2 linked regions of the Mytilus edulis genome follow. The protein of the gene in region 1 binds, or shares a complex with, the protein of each later gene. Links are inferred from orthologs where the notes say so. Each region holds a gene or a part of one and is shown on either strand. Other genes may lie near its edges. The genes, in order: protein bicaudal D-like and lissencephaly-1 homolog.

Region 1 (10,996 bases):
ATACAGTAAATGTGTGGAAAAGTTGCGAATAAATCTTAACAGAGATAAGAAAATAAACATCTGCCATCATCAGCCAATGTTATAATGGAATAAAAACTATGATATATAGACAAAGACTATCCCTGATGAGGCGTTTAATTGCTCTTGACATGTAGGAAATGCACATACATAGTTTTTTAAGAACGAAAATATGTATACTTGTTTTCTTCTTCCTGGCAGAGAAAATAAATTGGGTTGTTACATTCAATGTGAAATCATTTTATTTTTGAAAAATATTTTACATATTACATAAAACTTCTTCTTGTAGGGAAATTTTCTGGATGTACTTAATTAAAAAGTATGGATTTCAACAGCGCTTTTCTAAATGTATTCATAAAATGTGTTAAGAGTAGGCATTCAATTAAATGAATTTTATTGGGTTGCAAGGCAGGCTGGTACCAAAAAAGTATATTTTTAAGCATTTATACCATGATGTATAAGGTACATTATTAATGTGCATGTATTAAATCATTTATTTTCACAACATACAATTGTAAGAAATTATATTTTTTCCTCCATGAGAACATAATATTACAATTGTTTAACACAAGATGCATTAATATTTAGTACTTTTATTGATTGTAATTTGTATGATTTATAAATTAATAATATTATTAAGCATAATTTCAATAATATTCAAAATGCTATGATCAACCAGATCATATGTTAATATGTTCAAACAATTTAAAATGTTGTTTAGAATATAATCCTGTATCACTTTAATTTCACTAATGTAATCAAAAGAAATTATATAATATATATTTAACAACTTTCTCTTGATCTGGACTTCTGAACCATGAAATACTTTATTCAAAATACAAATATTGTATCATTTAAATATAATTTGGGTTAAAGATTAAAAATCAAAGAAATGAGAAAAATCCCAACAATGAATGATCTTCCCTTATTTGGAATAAAATTTATGAAAATGTAATATAATCATGATTTGAATTATGAATTCATAAGCTGTTTAGCCCAAACTTATGGTTGACAGTGCATAAGATATGTATGAATACCAGCAGATACATCCCATTAATAACACATGTGTTACATGTTAAATTAATTACAACACATCAAAAACTACACCCGTAGCCTTATGAGTTAAACAGACATAAAGGTTCATTCATATTTGTTAACACATAACTTTTAAAGTTTACCTGAATCTTTAGAAATAAATTAAACAACCAACACCTTCTGCCTACATCTTTAATTCAGGTCATGTGAAGAAAATAAATTCCATTATATTGCTTAAAAGGATAGGTACATTTAACATGTAGGTTGCTTAAAATTATATTTATGTCACACATATGACTAAATTAACTGAAATGTGGGGTATTTTTCCACCCCCCACCCCCGAGTATTCTTTGAAGAAAATCTGCTGGTCATCACTATTGCTAAATAACAAAATTGAGTCTGCCCTTGCAAAATTTTGTTGGCCAAAAGCTTAGGACCACCTCTTTTCTAGAACTTGCATCTTGTTATTAAAATCTCACATAAAAACAGGATTTATGGATTATTGTTTGCTGAACGTACATTGACAAATATTTCATGCAAACATAGGACATGTTAAAATTTAAAACAGAGACATGAAACTGGACATGGCTTCCAGTGATAATAAAAAGACTTCAGTTTCTGATTCATAATCAATAAAAACATTGAAAAGAAAGATAAATGTATAAATGAATGAAGATCTGTGTCCAATGCCTTCGACACGACACGACACAGATTGCCCTACTTGTCAATATGTAAACAATATATTCAGAGTTCATAAAGGGACATCCCTCGAAAAAAAAAGTGAAACCCCCAAATTCAAACTTATCTGTGCATGGAGGTAATATTAACCATTGTGTACAAGTTTCATTACATTTGGTTGAGACAAACTAAAGTTAGAAATCTGAAACTAATTTTAGAGCATACAGACAGAGGACCAGATGGACAAGGGTAAAACTTGAAGCCTCCTCTGTCATGGTGTGGCCATCACAAAGGGTTTTTATCTAAAAACATTTTAAATCATCTAATATTTTTCCTTTGCCTCACAATGGAACATAACATTACAGGTACCATTGCCAGCTTATAAATCGTATTTTAACATGCAACCAAACAAAGTGTGCTTAAAAATGTATCCAAACTATCAACAATAAACTTATCCCTGTCACCACGAAACCACTGCACGAAAAACAAATGCACATTTTATAAATGTATCATAATTTATACCCATGCAGGATTATTTAAAAGCTCCTGTAAAATAATATTCATGTAAATAAGAACCAACAATTAATAGAGTAATACAAACAATACCAGGGTATATGTTTTCATGAAATGCGTCCAATGACCCTAGCTTGTCTGGCAAAACAGCTGTTAATAGACAGACTATAGAATCTAAAGCCTTCTTGGTTAATTTCTTCAAAAGTGTACATCAAAATATGTGATTGCTTAACAACGGAAATTCATCCAATGAAAATTTCAAAAGCATATCAAGAAATTTTCCCTTTAAAAGGGGGACATCTTTTTTTTTCTTGAATCTTAAAGTCATATGAAACGAGTGACCGGTGAAAAATAATGTTATTCTAATTCATGTACCAATGCATACAAACATCATAAACAGTTTTCTGTGCACAATTTTATAAATTTTTTCGCATAAATTTCGTAAAATCACCAATTTTTTTTCAATCGGTCAGTGTTATTGAGAAAATATGGCAGGTAATTAAAGTTCGTGTATTGAAGCCGAAGTTGAACGATTGTCACCTGTTTGTCAGCAATCAACAAAAAGCATGGATATTGACCACGTGTTTAACATGTACAATCAGATAATTATAGTTTATTTAAAGGACATCCATGCGTATTACGATCACCAGATTTTTACGACATGGGTCACACTGAGGTCACTTTGAATACGGAAAATATGTTGGGGAATTGCTTCCTGGAAGGAATTAACATAAAGCACAGTCGCTTGAATTTTAGTGATATATGTATGAAAAAAAAAATGAAAAAAATACTGTTATATGTATAATATTATTATATATCACTAAAATTCAAGCGACTGTGCATAAAGTAAACTAAACTTTTTCTAAATATGAACTAATTTAAAAAAATTCTTCAGAAAAAAGTATATATGTACATAAGTTTTATAATGAAACTATCCATTGAGTTAAATAAAAAAAGCATAAGCATTATTTTTTTAATTTGAGGTTTCTTATGACTTTAAAGTAAATAATTCCAACTAAACCACATTTTTTGCCCTGCTTTGTTGTTTTCAAACTCTGATACAAATTTGAATGCAATATTCAATGTTTGGTTTTATTGGACATTCAATTTCACTAATGATTAATGAAGGAATGTGATTGATTGATCATAAGGATAATCTCAAGGTACATAATCAGTTAAAACGTTTTCTGGTTCAATTCAGACCAATAAATGCTGTTGAGGTTTTAAATCTGCTAAAATGCAAGATAATGTGAAGAATCAAAAATATGTAAAAGTATGTTTAGATGTCTTCAAATACGACACGCGGAATAGCAAAATTCAATATTCAACTTTGAGATATTCCCCCAACTTGACGACAGCTAGTCATAAGAAGGGCATTGACGCACCCAAATCTCTGTGAAAACCATAAATATAATATTTACCTCTTTAGCTGTGTCTAGTTCTTGCTTTAATGTTTCATATTGTGTCTCTATTTCTTCGATTTGCTGTTGAAGTTGCTGTTTTTCCTCTAACACTGCAAGTCCGTACTCAGCGGCTTGCACCTTTTCTTGTGTCGTCTCGGCAAGTTCTGTCTGCAGTCGCTCGACTTCTCGCCTCAACTCTTCAACAGACTGGTCGGCACTACTTGGATCTGACATTTTTAACCTAAAGAGGACTTAAATTATTCAAATAACACGAAAATTGGAAGAAAGTTTCAAGGGCAGACTCCCCCATACTATACAGTCGCCATCTTATTAATTTATGCAGCTATGTTGTCATGTGACCAGACTTGTCTTTATATGGAAACCCTAATTAACTTTAATGCTAACCGTGTTTATGTTGGGTTTTTAAAAATTAATCCTATTTATCGAGATCTGGTCCCCATAATGTACATCAATAAGAAAAAGATTAAAGTAAATATTAAGACAAGTCACCTATCACCAGTTGTTTACAATATATTGATCTTGGAAAATATTAATGTAAATTATGCAAATTCTTATGGCATTAGGACATTAGGCCGTATATGATTTATCATATGATCGGTATACTCACTGGAACATGATACATATATTGACTGGTACTATTTTAACTAACTAATGTTAGTATAATAGTGCCAAATATTCCCAGGATATGTCAAGGAAAAAAAACTCGCATTTGTTTTTAAACAAATTAGTACTATCAGAGACATACTCTATGTATTTATATATGTCTCTGCTGGTACTATGAATGATACACTCGAGGATACACTAAAGCATGTTATGTAAAATAAAAGAAACAGGGGCTGATCCAGCCATGTTAAAACCGGGGGTGGGGACATCAAAGGATAAAGGGGGTTCATTCAAATGCATTGATCGTCTAAAAAATAATGGAGGGTTCAAAACCCCGGCAGACCCCCAAGATCCGCCACTGAGAAAGTCTATATCAAAATTCCATTTTAAAGAAGTGATTACCACTAACAGACGTGTCATCAGAAACATATTTTCTGGTACATGCAAAACTTGAACAACACATAAGAAAATATAAAAACTTGTTTTCACTTTGCATCAAAAACTCACGTTTTGTAAGTTTAAATTGGTACTGTTACACTAGTAAGATATATACGAGTCCTAGGTTATAACTAAAAGAAATCTTCGTTCTATGAGTTATTCTAATACTATAACAATTTATATGTGATATAGAAATCTCAGGTCACTGAGTTGGAGAAATAAGGGCACGAACAAATATTTTCTTTCTTTTGAAAATATGGGCAAAAATATGTTCCAATATTTGACACATCTGGATGTGTCATCAATATAAATGATTGCTGTTACATTTTTGAGATTTGCAATCAAATCTTCACCGTGACATTATATATTATATTATAATGTCACAGGTTGAACTGAACATAGTATAATTGAATAAGTCGCCTCACCTGGTAATGTTAGTTTCATTACATCTATGGTTTCATGAATGCAGTAGTAGAATCTATTTCGATGATGATACGTCGTACTAGTCTATCTATAACTTTTTGAAGCAAAAATGTTGTGAAACTATGATTTCTTTGTTAATCAAAGAAATACATATTCATTTGTGATATTAACTCAATTATGATAACTCTGATTTTAATTAAGTGTCATATAGTTCAATTATCAACTTTCCTAGTTTGATTGTTAAATTTGTTCTTAATTAAAAGATTATTGTCATTTCTAAAAGCAATTGTCAAATGTCAATATTACTCGAAATAAGCATACAATGGAGGAAGAGGAAAGCAAAAAAAAATTTAAAAAAAATGGTTTTGATTTTTAATCGAAGACATTGAAAATAGCATATTGTATGTTTCATTTGACATTTTGATACAACAAAATCTCTTGATTATATATTTTAATAAATGTATGAATGTTGTGGATATTCGAATATCACATTTTGAAAATAATTCAGAACTAAATAAAAGAGTACACAATACGCCTATTTCTAGAATAAGAAATAACCTGTAAGAACTTTGAATGGATAGTCACATGTTAGACTATATTTTCGAGGGTAGATAGAAAACGGCGGATAGCAAAAACATATTGCACGGTTATTTTAAGAATATCTAAAAACCAATCTAATTAAAATATAGATATCTGACTTCGTTATGCTACTCATATGAAGTATAACCAGAGACATATATAATACATTGTCTCTGGGATCAGGTTAAAAAAAAGTAAAATCACAAAAATACTGCCGGAACCCCGAAGAAAATTCAAAACGGGAAGTCCCTAATCAAATGGAAAAAATAAGGTATATTAGCCTGGTATCCCTGCCCGATATCTCGGTGACAAGATTACCCAGGACCCCAGGCTAAAAGGATATATCATTGTATCGACTGCTGCCTTTGTATGGTGTCGTCGACATCATACAAAGACTATAATTGTATAGTATAGTTTTATATAAAAGGAAAGTAATCCTTGCAAAATGTTGTATTTATTATAAACATTTTAAAAATCAAAATAAATCTTTTAAATTTATCTGTGAGAGAAAACCCTTAGATTCGACTTTACAAGTGTTTATAAATATTCAATGTACTCTCGTGATTGTCTACACCGTAAACCGGAACTATTTAGTCGCTGTTCCGATAATTTTTTTTAGCAGGTGCCCAAAATCCCGATCCAATTAAATTTATTGCGCAGGCGCACAACGATTTCCCGTTCTCAAAACAATATGGCCGAAACTGAGACGGTCTATTGTTTATGTCGAAAACCTTATGACGAGTCTGAGTTTATGATAGAATGCGATATTTGTAGAGACTGGTTTCATGGAAGGTTAATCATCTTATAGATTTATATATTTTGCCACACACTAACAGTCCCTAACTCATAATTTTAGTCGTTGTTTATACCTGTCAGTGTTCCTGACAGATGACAGACCCATAATTTTTAAAGTAAAACTATGTATGATTGTTTAAAAGCGGCATTGCTTTAATCAAACCATGCATTATCACACTAGGTGAGAGATAAACCAATTCCAAGGCTTTTTGACGGCACCAGAAGCAACGAAGCAGCGCATCTATTTTGGACGGACAAATATCCACCTACTGATATGGGACGAGCTCTGACGTCCCACGGCCCCAGCTTGTCTGGCAAAACAGCCATTTTAGTCAGAGTAATTACGGATTAGTCTGTGCACAACTAATCACAATTTTTTAAGTGAGCTCGGGTTTGTTCTGCTTTAAATCAATGAAGCAATTGAATTTTCAATCAGATCAAATATATTTGTCAGTGCTGGTCTTTTTGTCAAAACAGATTCCAGCCGAGTTTGCAAAATAGTCAGTCCTGACTGCCAAAATAAACCTCTGATCAGTATTACTATTTTGATTGCTGGTGGTGAATCCAGGTCCGTTCGCGCCCAATCACGTTGGCAAATCAAGTCATTAATTACTTACTTACTTACCCATTCATGTTCGCCCCCTTTCACATTCGCACCCTACATGTTTGCAACCAAAGTCCATTTGCGCCCAAATTTTATTTAAACTCTCATATGCTATGAAATACAAATCGTACATTATCCTGATCGAGTTAAAATTTTATTGGTTTTGTGGTTAATAATTTGTAAACGTGTTTTGTAAAGTGAATTGTTATAAATATTTAGCCATCAATTATCTTTCATGTTTTTTATTTAAAATCTTCAAAGTTTTAGTCATACCAAGCTAAATATATGCAGTTAATTACATCAAAGCATTAGTTAAAAGAATTAAAACAACAATCATGATTTTTAAACCCATTAAAAATAAGACCAAATTAGGCTGTCTATAAATACCAATTAGCAGTAATCATACATAATTAAGATTTTAAAATGATTAATCATCAAATTATATAAAAAAATATATATGATAATTCCTCAAACTTTATTCAAGAGAATAAAATTATCCGGTATATACATGTAAAAAAATATCTAATAATTCAACTTAAATTCTAATACAAATTCTGCGCGACTGTGTAGGGTGCGAACAGACATAGGGGGCGACCATGTGAGGTGGGTACGTGTGGGGTGCGAAAGTATATTGGGCGCGAACAGACCTGATACCGCTGGTGGTGGTCTCGATGACTGATGCTTTAACAGCCATTGCAGTGCCCATGTCAGTACATTTTTTAATATTGGTCATCAGATGTACCCACAGTTAATTTCAGGTACAAATCACAAAAGCAATTAGAGTTTGAAATTCATAAATTAGAAACTACAATACTGGTTTTTAAACGGACCAACCCAGTGAGCTGAATGTGGCCTTCCAAATTTGTTCATGGAGCCATCCTTAGCAAAACCTACCAACGAAGCCAAACAAATAGATACGAAGCATTATGAGTAGAAAATTAAAATTTGCCTGTAAAGTATAAAACTAATTCAAATAAAGTGGGTTTTTTTTAGTCATTGTGGGACTGGCAAAATTTGTATAGGACTGACTTACACATGTACATGTATAAGTCCCATGACTGACAGGTCTAAAAATGTTCTTGAGAACTCTGGTCCAGAATTAGGTAAACTGATCAGGTAAAAGAAAAATGCACAATTTGTGTCCAGGGTGTCACATGTGATCCTTATAGTTATATTCTAAAAATCAAACTAAATTATGACCGATTTGTTTCATAACAGTTGCATTTCATTGCTAATACCTGTCAACTTGTTTAGGTTCAAATCCTTTTATTTAGGTTTTATGAAAAATTCTTAGGGTCACCTCATTTCTAAAATTTTCATTCTCCCTTATTATTGTCCGGTTTCATAGAAATTAATTAAAGTTATGGTAATTTTGAAAATATGGAGCAGATAGATATAATAATCAAAAAGGGTATTGTTTTGAATTTTTATGCAAAGTATTTTCATTTATTTTTTAGCTGTGTAGGTGTACAAGAACATCAGGCATCAGATATTGAAATATACCATTGTCCAAACTGCCAGCTTACACATGGTCCTCTACTCTGTAAGTACACACATTACGACAAAAAAATATATATGCATGTTTCCTGTTACATGTATGAAAAATACAGGGTGGTTAGGTATGGATTTTTATTTTTATTTTACCATACATTTTTTTTTACATTAATTAGTCTATGGGAGATACAATCAGACTTTAACAGTGCTTATTGATTTTTTTTTTTTTTAGGGTACATGTAGGCTAATTTTTAAATTAAAAAAATTGTCAGGGTAGGTTAATAGAATACACACATCTCTTTTTAGTTTGGCCTTATATCCAGTTCAAATGACAGTCACACTTCAAAATCCATTGCAAATTCCACCATACATTTTGACCAGATGGAAAATATTTCCTTTTATGAAAGAAATAAAGGCACATCAATTTAGGCAATAACAATGATAGCTAATCAACAAACAAAAAAAAGCATTTTCTCTGAAGTCTTGCCTTTTTAGAAGGGCATTAAGCAATGATTTAGACTAAACATTGGAAGTTCGTTTTTTTAAACATTAAATAATAAAAGATTTTAGCAGCCACTCGCACAACTTTCTGAACATGTTTTAGTTTTCATTACTAATATAGACCACGTCTGAAACTTCAATTAAAAGAACTACTTATTGTTTTACATTGTCTTATCAGGGCCTTTTATAGCTCACTATGCGGTATGGGCCTCATCATTGTTGAAGGCCGTACGGTGACCTATAGTTGTTAATGTCTGTGTCATTTTGGTCTTTTGTGGATAGTTGTCTCATTGGCAACATACCACATCTTCTTTTTTATACTTTATGTATACGTTATGCCTAATTAATCCTGTTATGCACTCTAGCATTTTCCATTTGCACATTGGGAAATCTCATCTTTTTTTAAAATCTGCTATATAGAGCAAATTGATATGATTCATTACTGTGCAAAACCCATTGTGTTCATGAAATATCTGCTTTGCTAGTAAATTCATTTGTCAAAAGATTTCAAAATATAGAGTTGTAGCATTATCTTTTTCGACAGCTGTAATGCATTACATGTATTTTGATTTTTTCAGTGAAAAAGAGACAAAATTTCCACAGACATGATTATTCTGAAGCTGACGTCGAGAATAAGGTATTAATAATAATTTAACAAAAAAATGTACCACATCAATAAACACTCATATACGAATATTTTAATCAAGAAAGAGTTCTCAATTTTGAAATAAGAAGATTGGGTATTATTGCCAATGAGACAACTCTCCAACACAGACCAAATGACACAAAAAATAGCCATTAAGGTTACTGTAATGTCTTCATCAATGAGAAAATCTCATGCCGCATAGTAACTTGGGAAAGGTAACAAAAAGACAAACTTCAAACCATTCAAGAAGTCTGATAATGTATAAATAGAATTGAGAATGGAAACGGGGAATGTGTCAAAGAGGAAAAAACAACCTGTCAAGAGCAGAAAACAACCTTATGACAACACTTTCCTGAACCAAGTCAGAAATTTGGTAGTTGTTATCTAATAGTTTGATTCTATGTATGTTGCATTGTCGTTTAATTTTTGTTGCACTTGGAGTTTTTCTGTTGCTTCGGTTTTTTTTTCCTTTTATAGTTGATGTACTGTGTTTCCTGGGGTTTTAGTTTGTAACCAGGATTGGTTTTCTCTCAATCAATTTACCGTATGACTTTTGAACATCGGTATACTACTGTCGCCTTTATTTACTATGATAAAAATTGGGAATTAAAAGAAAACAACAATAACAGAAGGCATCAACATTACATTTGCTGAATTTAAATAAGAAATGAAATGAAAATATTTAAAATACCCATGACATTTTTTTTTAATGATTTATTACCTTTTCAGGCTGTTCAAACAGGAACTGTTGTATTTATTAAAGAATTAAAAAACAGAACATTTCCCAGGTAATTTGTTTTATTATTTTAATGTACAATTATATTCTGAATCATTTATTTCTGTATATGATAGAAAAGAAACAAAGGCCAGGCTTATACATTGCAAGAAACATAATCGTCTAGGTCAACTTAGCTTTAGGAAATTGCTATCTTAATTTTTTGTTCATCGACTTCATAAATGGCATTAACTTGTAAGTATTCTGTTTCTATTGTTTGCAAGTTTCAGGATTTGTACTTGAAATTAAACCAACACAGTGTCAGATGGTATTTTTTACTTCAACAATTCATCCATTAATGTTGGACAAATATTTTGATTATCTCCCTTCTATACAACACTGATCATGTTATTATACCAGTGAAGAGAATTTTTCAAGGCTTGTTTATTAACCTTCGTCTTTACAGTGGAGATGAACTTCCTTTATTACGACTGCATGGCAGTGAGCTGATACCAGAGTTCTTTAATAAA
Region 2 (10,247 bases), on another chromosome or scaffold:
AGATCGTATGTAACATTATGCACATAGGAAATATAATAGACCCCCGGCGCAATCTCTTTGAAAATTGTATTTTCCTTTTTTAAACAAGACGAAACAAGTCTACAGATTATGTTTGCTAACATCCTGTTGGAAACAAAAACAATGTTTAGACCTAGTATTTCATACATCCGGCCGTAAGGGCGTGATCACATGTTAGTCACATGTTTCACGTATGACCGGAAATGATTAGAACTTAACGACAAAAACAATTTTAATAAAAAAAAAGGAAATAACTGGACTTCTGTTTCGTTTGAAATGTAACGCATAACGATAACGTCATTTTCTAACTTAATTATTACGAAGAACAAAACTAGAATGTAAATCATCTCTGATTTACCTGTTTGAACATCTCGCGAGAGTTCATATTTGCATATTGTTATAAAGAATTCTATTACAACAAAGCAGATTACATCATCTAAAATTTGCGTTACGAAATTGGAAACCAAAGTAACGCTAGTGTTCTTACACCTGCTACAGAAATACTTATAGTTCTCGGCATTTTCTCCTGACTATTCTTTTTGGTCGATGTTCTTTATTATTTGAAAGCAAAAGTTACGAATTTGATGGTGACGATTATCTATAAAGCAGTCAGCGTTATGCACTTCGGAAGCGAAAAGTAACGCGAGAAACGACACAAAAATACGGTCGTATAATCTTTAAAATTTGTTAATTTCAATTTTTTTTCTAGGGAAGAGTAGCATACACTTGTATGTTGATAAAAATAAAGGCATCTTTAGATGTAGTTACAACTTTTCTTACAGTAATACACATTTTTATCACTTTTCTATAGTTATAGGAAACGAGCCCAATAGCAAATTATGGTCCATATATATCTAACAGATTACAAGTTTGATACTCTGGCATCTCTTTAAAACTTAGTTTTTACTGACATTTTATTGATATGATTGATAAAATTAAAACTATTTTTACCTTGTATTAAATTGGTCATCTGGTTTCTTTCCACATTTTTGACAGCACATGTAAAGTTTGTATCATCAAGTTCAGTAGCAAGAAATCTCCATTTATTCATCCTAGCAGAGAGGAGGGGATATACACAACTTCCTCCTGTTCCTGTTAAAAACAAAAATCAGAATTTAACGTTTTCCTGCTATTACCAGCAGAGCTATTTTCCTAATGCAACTAAATTAAAAGTTTGGTTGTTATTTTAGCATGTTGAATGTTTGTCTGATACAAACCTTTTCCAGGACTTATTTTCATTGTATGTTCTCTCTAAATGCAGGTTTTGTTAATCTAAACATCACGTTTTAAAACGAGGAGCATATACCTCTCATATAAAAATCATTTCAAGTAAATCAAGTCACATCTGCATACACAAGTGCCTGTTCTGAGTTCAGTTGTTGTCTTAAATTAGTCATATCTTAATAGTTTTTTTCTCATTTAAAGAATTAGTTAATAAAGGCAAGTCTTTAATCATGTTAATTGTTTCTATTTCATTTATGTAACTTTTTTTACTTATAAACTCAAACATTAAAAGCTTGTCAAGTTACATTGAGTGTTAGTCTTGTTTTTTTGTAAAAGACTGTTATATTGCCCTCTGGATGTCATTGTTATTATTATCCTATCAGAATTAATTGACCTCAAGGAGAATATTTGACATTTAAGGCCCTTTTATACATGTAGCTGACTATGCAGTATGTGCTTTTTCATTGTTGAAGGTTGTAGTGACCTATAGATGTTACAAATGTAACTTCTGTGTCATTTGGTCTCATGTGAAGACATGGAAGAGTAAAAAAATGTTTCATTGGCAATCATACCACATTTCCTTTTTTTAATCGTGGAGAATATTTTCTGATTCTACATGTTCTATATTTTGTTTCTCAAGATTCTAATAAATTATAATATGTATGCTTAATATTACCAACATCTATTCCTAAAATGTCTCCCTTAATACTGGAATCTTTCAAAATATCTTCTATCCATAAGATATAGTTAAGCCTCAAAGGAATGGTAGGTACCAGTCTATCAGGAGGCAACACAACATCCAATCCAAAGTCTTCTTTCATAAGTGTGGTGGAAAGCTGTCTTAAAGAATCAGGATTTCTGAAGTCAAGAAAAAGCTTTCCACTTACATCTGGATAAACATGTTTCCTAAATTCTGGATATTTGATGGCAAGGTACTGGAAATTTGCCTTCTTGCTTTTGTACTTGTTCCTTGGATGCATGAACTTATTCAACGCCATAATTAATTCTGTAAAAAATATTTTATTAAAGGTAAATAAATTACACTTGTACAGTTTGTATAAGTACATGTATCTTACAAATTCCGCAGAATATGTGTTTAGTTCATTAAAAGTTATCTTTTTTTGTGCAGATAGAATAAGAAACTACATGATCATGAAGAGAGTGGGAAAATACCTTTTTCTGCCAGTTGTATGTTTTGGGTGACTTTTTTCAAAAGACAAGTTAAGTACCTTGTTTTATATGAGGACGAAGTTCTCTGTAACAGTAGAAAAATCAATAAAATAAAAAAAAAAATTGGTCAGGAAATTTTCATTGTACTCATCAACTCAAAATTGTTAACTTTTATTTGTCGCTTTTTTAATTCCTGCATTTGCACAGAACACAGAAACTACTTCCTTCTTCTGGTCTCGTTGTCGTGAGACTTTGAGTAGTCTAGTAAAATATAGGAACTCAAGGAACACAATACCAAAATTTCATTTTAATACTCATGTCTCTGATATGAATTAACGTTACGGTTACCATGGTTACCTGATGCATTGTCTTTCATGTCTTTCTTTGTTTACATTGAACATCACATCATAACTTAAATAACATCACAAGTAACAAATCCATAACAACAGAATCAAAATCTGATATTTCCGTTTCTTTTTTTTAACAAATATTTAGTTACAAAAAAAATAATTCATACAGACTTACTCCCCATTCACAGGTAATGCCTGCCTCATAATATTATGGTACATAAGATTAATGCTCTTCTTGTGGATGATTTATTTAACTTTGAAGATAAGCTATTACAATTAATAGTGGACTGTACAAAATTCCAGTATGGATAAATATTGAGCGCCTGTTAAGCAGCTTATGTTTTGGTCTACATCAGAAGAGAACTAGTTTATTACTATGAAGACTGTTTGTATAGTTTTCCAAGTTAAAAGAGACATATAGTGCAATATTTCATTTTTTGAGTGTGGTATAGATGATAATAATTTCTTAAGATTTAAACTGATTGTTAGTTTAATATTTTTAAACAAATCAGTTAGGCGGTCTTATTTAACGCTTATATGATAGGTGATAATTTTACACCTTCTTTTTAGATTTTAAATGTTTACTTGTTGCTAAGTCATAAGTACATGAAGTACAATTAACATGATTAACAGTGAAATTTTTCATTACCGTAAGTTTAAGAATTAATAATTCTGTAGTAAGGCTCTCTTGATAGGGGTAAATACTAGGTATAAGAGCAAGGGTTAGGAATTACAGTTCGCATTTTATGAGCATGTTTAAGTGTGAAATAGACATTTGCTGATCTGAGCAAGTTTTACAGTCAATATGCGTTGTGGATACATGTGATGTATATATATTCTATTGATGAGGAGAGAGACACAAGTGAAATAAAGGACAAAATGACAGTGGATCAATCTATCAAGTTTTAGATTTTAAAATATGACTGTACATGCTGTATATACAGTTTGAATACTTTTAAATAAGTGTGGTGGTGGTGTATATAAGTGTAAATGTATATATACATGTAGAAGATGTTTTTAATCCAATAATAGTGAATATTCAATAATAAGGGATTCTACACTTCAAGAGGATTTTCCAACTGAAGTGGTTCATCTGGTAAAGGTGGAAAATACAGAATACAATGGAATAGGTAACATATGGGGGGGGGGGGGGGGGGGGGGGAAATTCAAGACAAGTGCCTGTGGCTTTCTTGTGTGCTTTGAGATTGAGTTGAGCACCCAACTTCAAGAGCATTGAGGCTCTCAAAATTTATATCAAAAACACTTGTTCAAACTAATTTTTCCTGCAGGCATCAATATTCAAGAATATTTTGTCAATTTAGAAACAAAAATATATATATATATATATAAAGATATAGGAGGTAGGTAATGGGAGTATCTTCAGGCTTCATGATGAATAACAGTAAAACTTCAAACCAATTGCTGTAACTGTAATTTTTTGTGCATGACAATAATATGTACACTTTTATACGATAAACAATTGACTTACATGACTTATTTCGACATTATTCCAAAAATGATGCAAAAGATAATTTAAATATTTTGATAACTCTTACGAATCAAAAGAAGGATATTTTGACAAATCATGGTAAAATTTAACTAATTTAATGCTTTACAGTAGCCAAAAATTATCGTTTGACGACTGACGGTATTAGACATTTCTACCCCATATATGATACACAGGGGCTTGTTTAGTGGCTCAGACGAGGTTTTACTGTCAATGGCGATCGCTATCCTATATATTTTGTTTTTTTTCATACTGTGTATGATCATATAGAGCACTTCTATCCAAAGCGAAAGACTCGCGAGTACGAGGACGACTATAATATGGGGACAAAGTCCCCTATTACAGTATAAAATTCAAAAAAAAAAAAAAATTGGGAAAATTTCGGTCATTGTACTAATGAACTCAAAATCGTTCAATTTTTTTTTTGTCATGTTTTTTAATTTCCGGATCTGCTCAGAACACATAACTCTACTTCCTTCTTCCAGTCTTGTTTTCGTGAGACTTTGATTAGTCTAGTAAAATATAGGAACTCAAGGAACACAATACCAATATTTCATTTTTAATCATTCTTTGTCTTTGGTATGAATTAATATGGGGACGGAGTCCCCAATAACAGTAGAAAATTCAATAAAAAAAAAAAATACGGGAAAATTTCCCGAATTTTTCATTGTACTAATGAACTCAAAATCGTTCAAATTTTTTTTGTCGTGTTTTGAAATCCCGGACCTGCGCAGAAATGTATAATGTACTTCCTTTTTCCGGTCTCGTTTGTATGAAACTTTGAGTAAAATATATATTTATCAGTCTAGTATGCCAGCTTTAGCTGGCACTTATGGTAGAAGCATCGTTTTGGAATAAAGAACGATAACTCTCTCTACACGACCCATCTGAAAAGTTTCGTCACTCTCGTTAAATCTCGTATGATTATTTTTTTTAATGGCGGCCGAATTTAACGTTTCAACGTGACCTTGAAAAAACGGGACAGATCGGAATAATTTTGATATTAAATACAACATGAATTTTTATTTGTTTGCAAAAACAAGAATTCAGAAATTTTGGTTACTTGTGTAGCTTATCTAAATTTTATCGTACCACGGAAATTATCGAAGTTAGGACAACAACATCTGACGCCATGTTTCGTCTGCTTCAACATTCCTTTAACAGTGAGGTCAAAACAAATTACCCAAATAATCACAGGTACTTCATTTAAAAGTTACAAAATCATAGATAACGTTAACATATTTAGCGTAAAAGTTCCGTCCAGCCATGGGAACACAGAAAAAATCTCTGCAAGCAATATATTTCGGATTTTTTTTATAATGGCCATCTGGTCCGGCTTGCGGGGGAAAAATGTTACCTGATGATAGCGTTTCTTTGTTTACATTGCATATGACGTCATAATTTAAATAACGTCACAACTAAATCCCTAACAACAGAACAAAAATCGGAAACGTTACGGTATTTACGTTTCTTTTTTTTTAAACAAATGTTTTTAAAAGTTACAAAAAAATAATTCATACAGACTTCGTCCCCATTTACAGGTAATGCCTGCCTCATATTAAACGTTAGGCCTACCTGATGCATTGCGTTTCTTTGTTTACATTGAACATGACGTCATAACTTAAATAACGTCACAAGTAAAATCCCTAACAACAGAACCAAAATCGGAAACGTTACGGTATTTCCGTATCTTTTTTTGTAACAAATATTTAAAATACAGAATACAGAATTAAAATAAAAAAAAAAATTTAAGCAAACTTCGTCCTCATTCACAGGTAATGCCTGCCTCATATTATCAAACACCATCGTGTACTTACCGTTAAATAGTTTAAGGAAACTTAAATAAGCAACTTCAAATGTCTACTAGCAAATGTTATTTCAGGACAGCATAAAATGTATGAAAACGTCTAAAAAACAACGTTTCAGGGGCGCAGACATATTGGATCCCGAGGAAGTCTCGTTGTGCGACTTCCGTATGTTTTCCGTATGCGCATGCGTATTCATACAATTTTCGGACGAATTTACGTGTGGAGTCCTGCAAGTGATAATATTTTCGTTGATTTAAGACATATTCCAATGGTTTACAGGTAAAATTGAAGAAAGGAATTATGCATGACCTAGAAATTTTAAATTTATATTGGAAAAATTGCTGTTCTTGTGCCTTATTTTCAAAATGAATTGCAGACAGCTTCATAATGGCGGTCTGTGACATTATAAATCAATGAATGACTTCATGCAAAAATTAACATTTCATTAAATTTCAGACATACTTTTGTATGTCATTTATCTTTTTACATGTACGATTTATACGTGTGTAAGTGTGAAATTGATTATGTTTTAACCATTTATGCAAAATTAGACATAAATTGACCATTGTCTTTCTAATGACAAGTTTGACAGTTGTGGAGTATTTTTGCAACCCATCCCTCAGGCAGACAGCAAAAGTTATTCAAGATGTGATACTTAATGAATTCGTCTTATTTTGTTTATTAGAATGAACATCAGGCAAATGCTGTCTGATGATCTCAGATTGTATCAGTTGATTTAGAGTTCGTTTGTTTTGATCTTTAAATTCTGATAATTTATGATGTCAAAATTTTATTTTCATGTTTGGTCTGCTTGTCAACCGAAATTTCAGTGTAATACGTATTTTAATTGTTAATATAGCTATATTTAGGCAAAAAAAATAATATTTATGCAGTCTGCGACGTTAAGCGGTAGCCTGAAGCCCGTGTCTAGTTTAAATAAGCTCAGACTAGTTTACATAAACTACTGATACATTGTACACTGCCGATAGTCCGACCGGTCTAGTGGCAGTGCATATCTGTGTGCACTTTTTTAATCGTTACCATCAGTTAACGCAGAATGTCACTCAACGCCATCTATATTAATTAACTGATACTCTCTTCCTTACAAAAATACCGTTAACCAGTTTTGACAGTCTCCCTAATAACCGATTGTTCAAAATAAAATAAAAAGCACGAAAAACGGTTAGTACCACATGTTTTCAAAATGTCAAATTTTGGTAATTATTGATTGATTTATGTTGCATAGACTGAATAAAATATAATAACAGAAAATAAAAAAACATTGATCATTTTTCAATTTTTTGCGTCGAAAGATATTAATTCGTAACTGCCCACTTGACATCTTGTGTATTTTAGACGATTGCTTATTAGGACGATTTCGATGACTGGGTACCATTAATTTTATGAAGAAGTGGAACCAGTTTTGTTTTCATTTCGAAAGTGTACACATAATTTTGGTCACAAACATCATTTATACAAGGCTTCACTGTCGGATAGTGCGAGACCTGGAAAGGCACTAGTCTGAGATTACTCTGATGTCCAACGGCTATTTTGCCAGACAAGCTGGGGCCATGGGACCACCGCTTGTCTGGCAAAACAGCTGTTGGACGTCAGAGTAATCTGGGACTAGAAAGGAAACAAAAGGGCCGTCTCGCACGTCCTACCAAGTTACAGAGGCTTAAAAGAAATACGAGGATAAACGGGTTAGAGAATTTAAAATTCATTGGATGGACGGTCGTCCCTGGCTCCAGTACTATGAGTACGAGAATCTAGTTATGTTCTGTAGCTACTGTAAGGAGCAGGGAAAAGGAGGCAAATTTGTATCTGTATTTGTTATTGTATTTGAACAGAAGTTGTTCAGCAAATTGAAAAATATTATGAAAAATTATGAAGAATAAAATTTTAACTGATTGATTTTCTTCTTTTCTTACGGTCTGCATCAGAAAAGATGATCTCTTTAACTTCCAAAGTCAAATTTGAATGAGAAATTAATTTAAACAAAATTTGATGGCAAGGGGTTTATATCTACTTGTATACATTTATTTTACATGTACATGTATGTCTTAAATTCAAAGAAAAGAGTCTTTAACAGTCTTGTCAACAGTTTTTAGAAGGTTTTTTAGTAGAATTTTTCATATTACATGGAGAAAAAACTCTACATTTTTGAAAAGTTATCTACACTTCCAGATACAAAAATGTAACCTCAGATTGCAGGATTTTACATCTAATATTCCAAAAGTTCCAAAATGACATAAAAAGTGTTAGGGTAGGCACTAAAAATGTATGGTTAGCGTAAACACAAGTATTATTTATTTTTGTCTTATTGTTTAGAGCAGTTTGAATATCTATCCTGCTCGTAAGGTCAGACTGGACAGAACTTGTCTCTTGATACCCTTGGTCTTATCAAATGGTACACTGTTGCTCAAAGCAATTTTCCATGTTACCAAGTCTAATGAATTTTAACAAAAAAAGTTGCATCAACGGTTTAATTATAATTATACAATGTTCTATAAGTATTTGAACATTTTGAATATACTACATGTATAAATAACATAATTGGTGATTTCAATTACATGGAAGTACTTTGCATATTCATATATTTTCTATTATTATTACCTGCCAATTCTCATCAACAGTAATTGGAAGGTGAAGTGAAAATCTTTGTTTACATGTTGAAAGCAATGTAGTGTTGAATAAAAATCGCACACTAACTTTCCTTTAAACCATCATAACTTTGTCATTTCTTATCTTTTTTCACGGTAGACAGACGATTGATTTTGAAATTGCGCGTCTGATCTTTTTTTTTATACACTGTATTGTTACCAGAAATATGCCATTTATCTAATAGCCCTTACTGCTCGCGGTAACAGCCCGGTACATCAGAGGGCCATGTCAAGTGGGTGATAAACATGTCGGTTTCTTTATATTTTTGGGATACGATTGCTTTCAAGCAATCTGTAGACTTATACTGGTGGCTCAGAGCATTGCCCTCACGTCAATCGTTTTATTCTAAACATTAAGGAACATCTCAGATTCTTATGATTGTCTTGCTTTAAAAGGTAAAAACAAACAAAGGGATTGAACTTTAACAACTTTCCTATAATGTTCTTTTCATAATCTTCATGTTTGATAATTCCCTTGACTTATATGCATGTTTTTAACAACACGGAAAATCAAAATTACGCAGTATTTATATTTAGTGTTTTTCTAAATTTAGAAACACGTTAGAGGGAATTCCCAGTTTGATAAAATGCGAGAGTTCTCTGAATTCCGATAAATCTATTTCTGTCATATAAGAACTGAAGTGGAGTTTTTCTTATATTTTACCTTTATGAAACTGATATTTGAGATTGTACTTCCATAAAGAAATAGAGAACTATCTAGATCGTTTAATAAACATTTAATATATCTTGCTCCAGGTTTTTTTTGGAAATTATGCGCATGCGTATAGTTTTCTTGACTTCGAGGGGTTTTCGATTGAATGGTTGCTCTGGATTCCCCACTCAATTAATTAATGTTAAACTCATGGGATCTTTTCTATGTATGTCTGCTATTGAAGGTTATTATTGTTGCATAATTTTAAATCATATGCATCATTTAAATTAAAGTAAATATAGTCCACATCGTAGAACACCCCTTCAGGCGAAATGGAGTCTTCCATATTATTGTTTCGAGTTGTCTCCCTTCTGGAAGTAACTTCCGTGAATTCTGAATTAAAACAATACGTCAGGTATTAGCTCGTTCTGTCAATAAAGTGTATTATATTAAAAATGATCGAAATTTAAACCGATAAATGTGTACGGAAAGGAGTCATGATCAGTGACCGAAAGGAAATTAAATATTTAAAGAGTTAGGAATGGGGTTCCTCCTAGAATTAACGTAGGAAAATAGGTGATAAGATACGAAGTGAAATACCTTCTCTCACTCTGAGTCTCAGTGACTGCTGTGGAAAGTAAACTTGGAATTGATAGTACAAAAATAAAACACAATAGGCCTAATTGCATTGTTCATACACATTTATCCGGGATTGGCTATTTTGTAACTATTTTACATGTGCAGTTGAATTAGTTTTGAAAATAATATTATCCAGCTACATGTATACATGTACATGTGTCAACGAAACAACGGCAATCGTATCCCTCAGAGCAATCTGCTCTTTGATTATCATTT

The links.
Region 2: protein bicaudal D-like (region 1) and lissencephaly-1 homolog share a complex: the UniProt entries of both Caenorhabditis elegans proteins name them as parts of the dynein-regulating complex. The link is inferred for Mytilus edulis from reciprocal best matches to the Caenorhabditis elegans genes bicd-1 and lis-1.

What each region holds. Positions count from the first base shown.
Region 1 is NC_092344.1:56,702,083-56,713,078, reverse strand, and holds the start of protein bicaudal D-like, read right to left. Parts: upstream 4,060-10,996; 5' UTR 3,882-4,059; coding exon 3,666-3,881; intron 1-3,665. Other genes in the region: lysine-specific demethylase 7B-like, read left to right, coding at 6,403-6,503, 8,568-8,653, 9,684-9,742, 10,481-10,539, 10,933-10,996. UniProt on the Caenorhabditis elegans protein: Part of a complex with dlc-1 and egal-1, which is recruited to the nuclear envelope by unc-83, where in turn, it recruits dynein to the nuclear surface and regulates nuclear migration in hypodermal precursor cells.
Region 2 is NC_092349.1:6,457,227-6,467,473, reverse strand, and holds the start of lissencephaly-1 homolog, read left to right. Parts: upstream 1-6,237; 5' UTR 6,238-6,356; intron 6,357-10,247. Other genes in the region: RNA N(6)-adenosine-methyltransferase mettl16-like, read right to left, coding at 970-1,110, 1,919-2,240. UniProt on the Caenorhabditis elegans protein: Positively regulates the activity of the minus-end directed microtubule motor protein dynein. May enhance dynein-mediated microtubule sliding by targeting dynein to the microtubule plus end.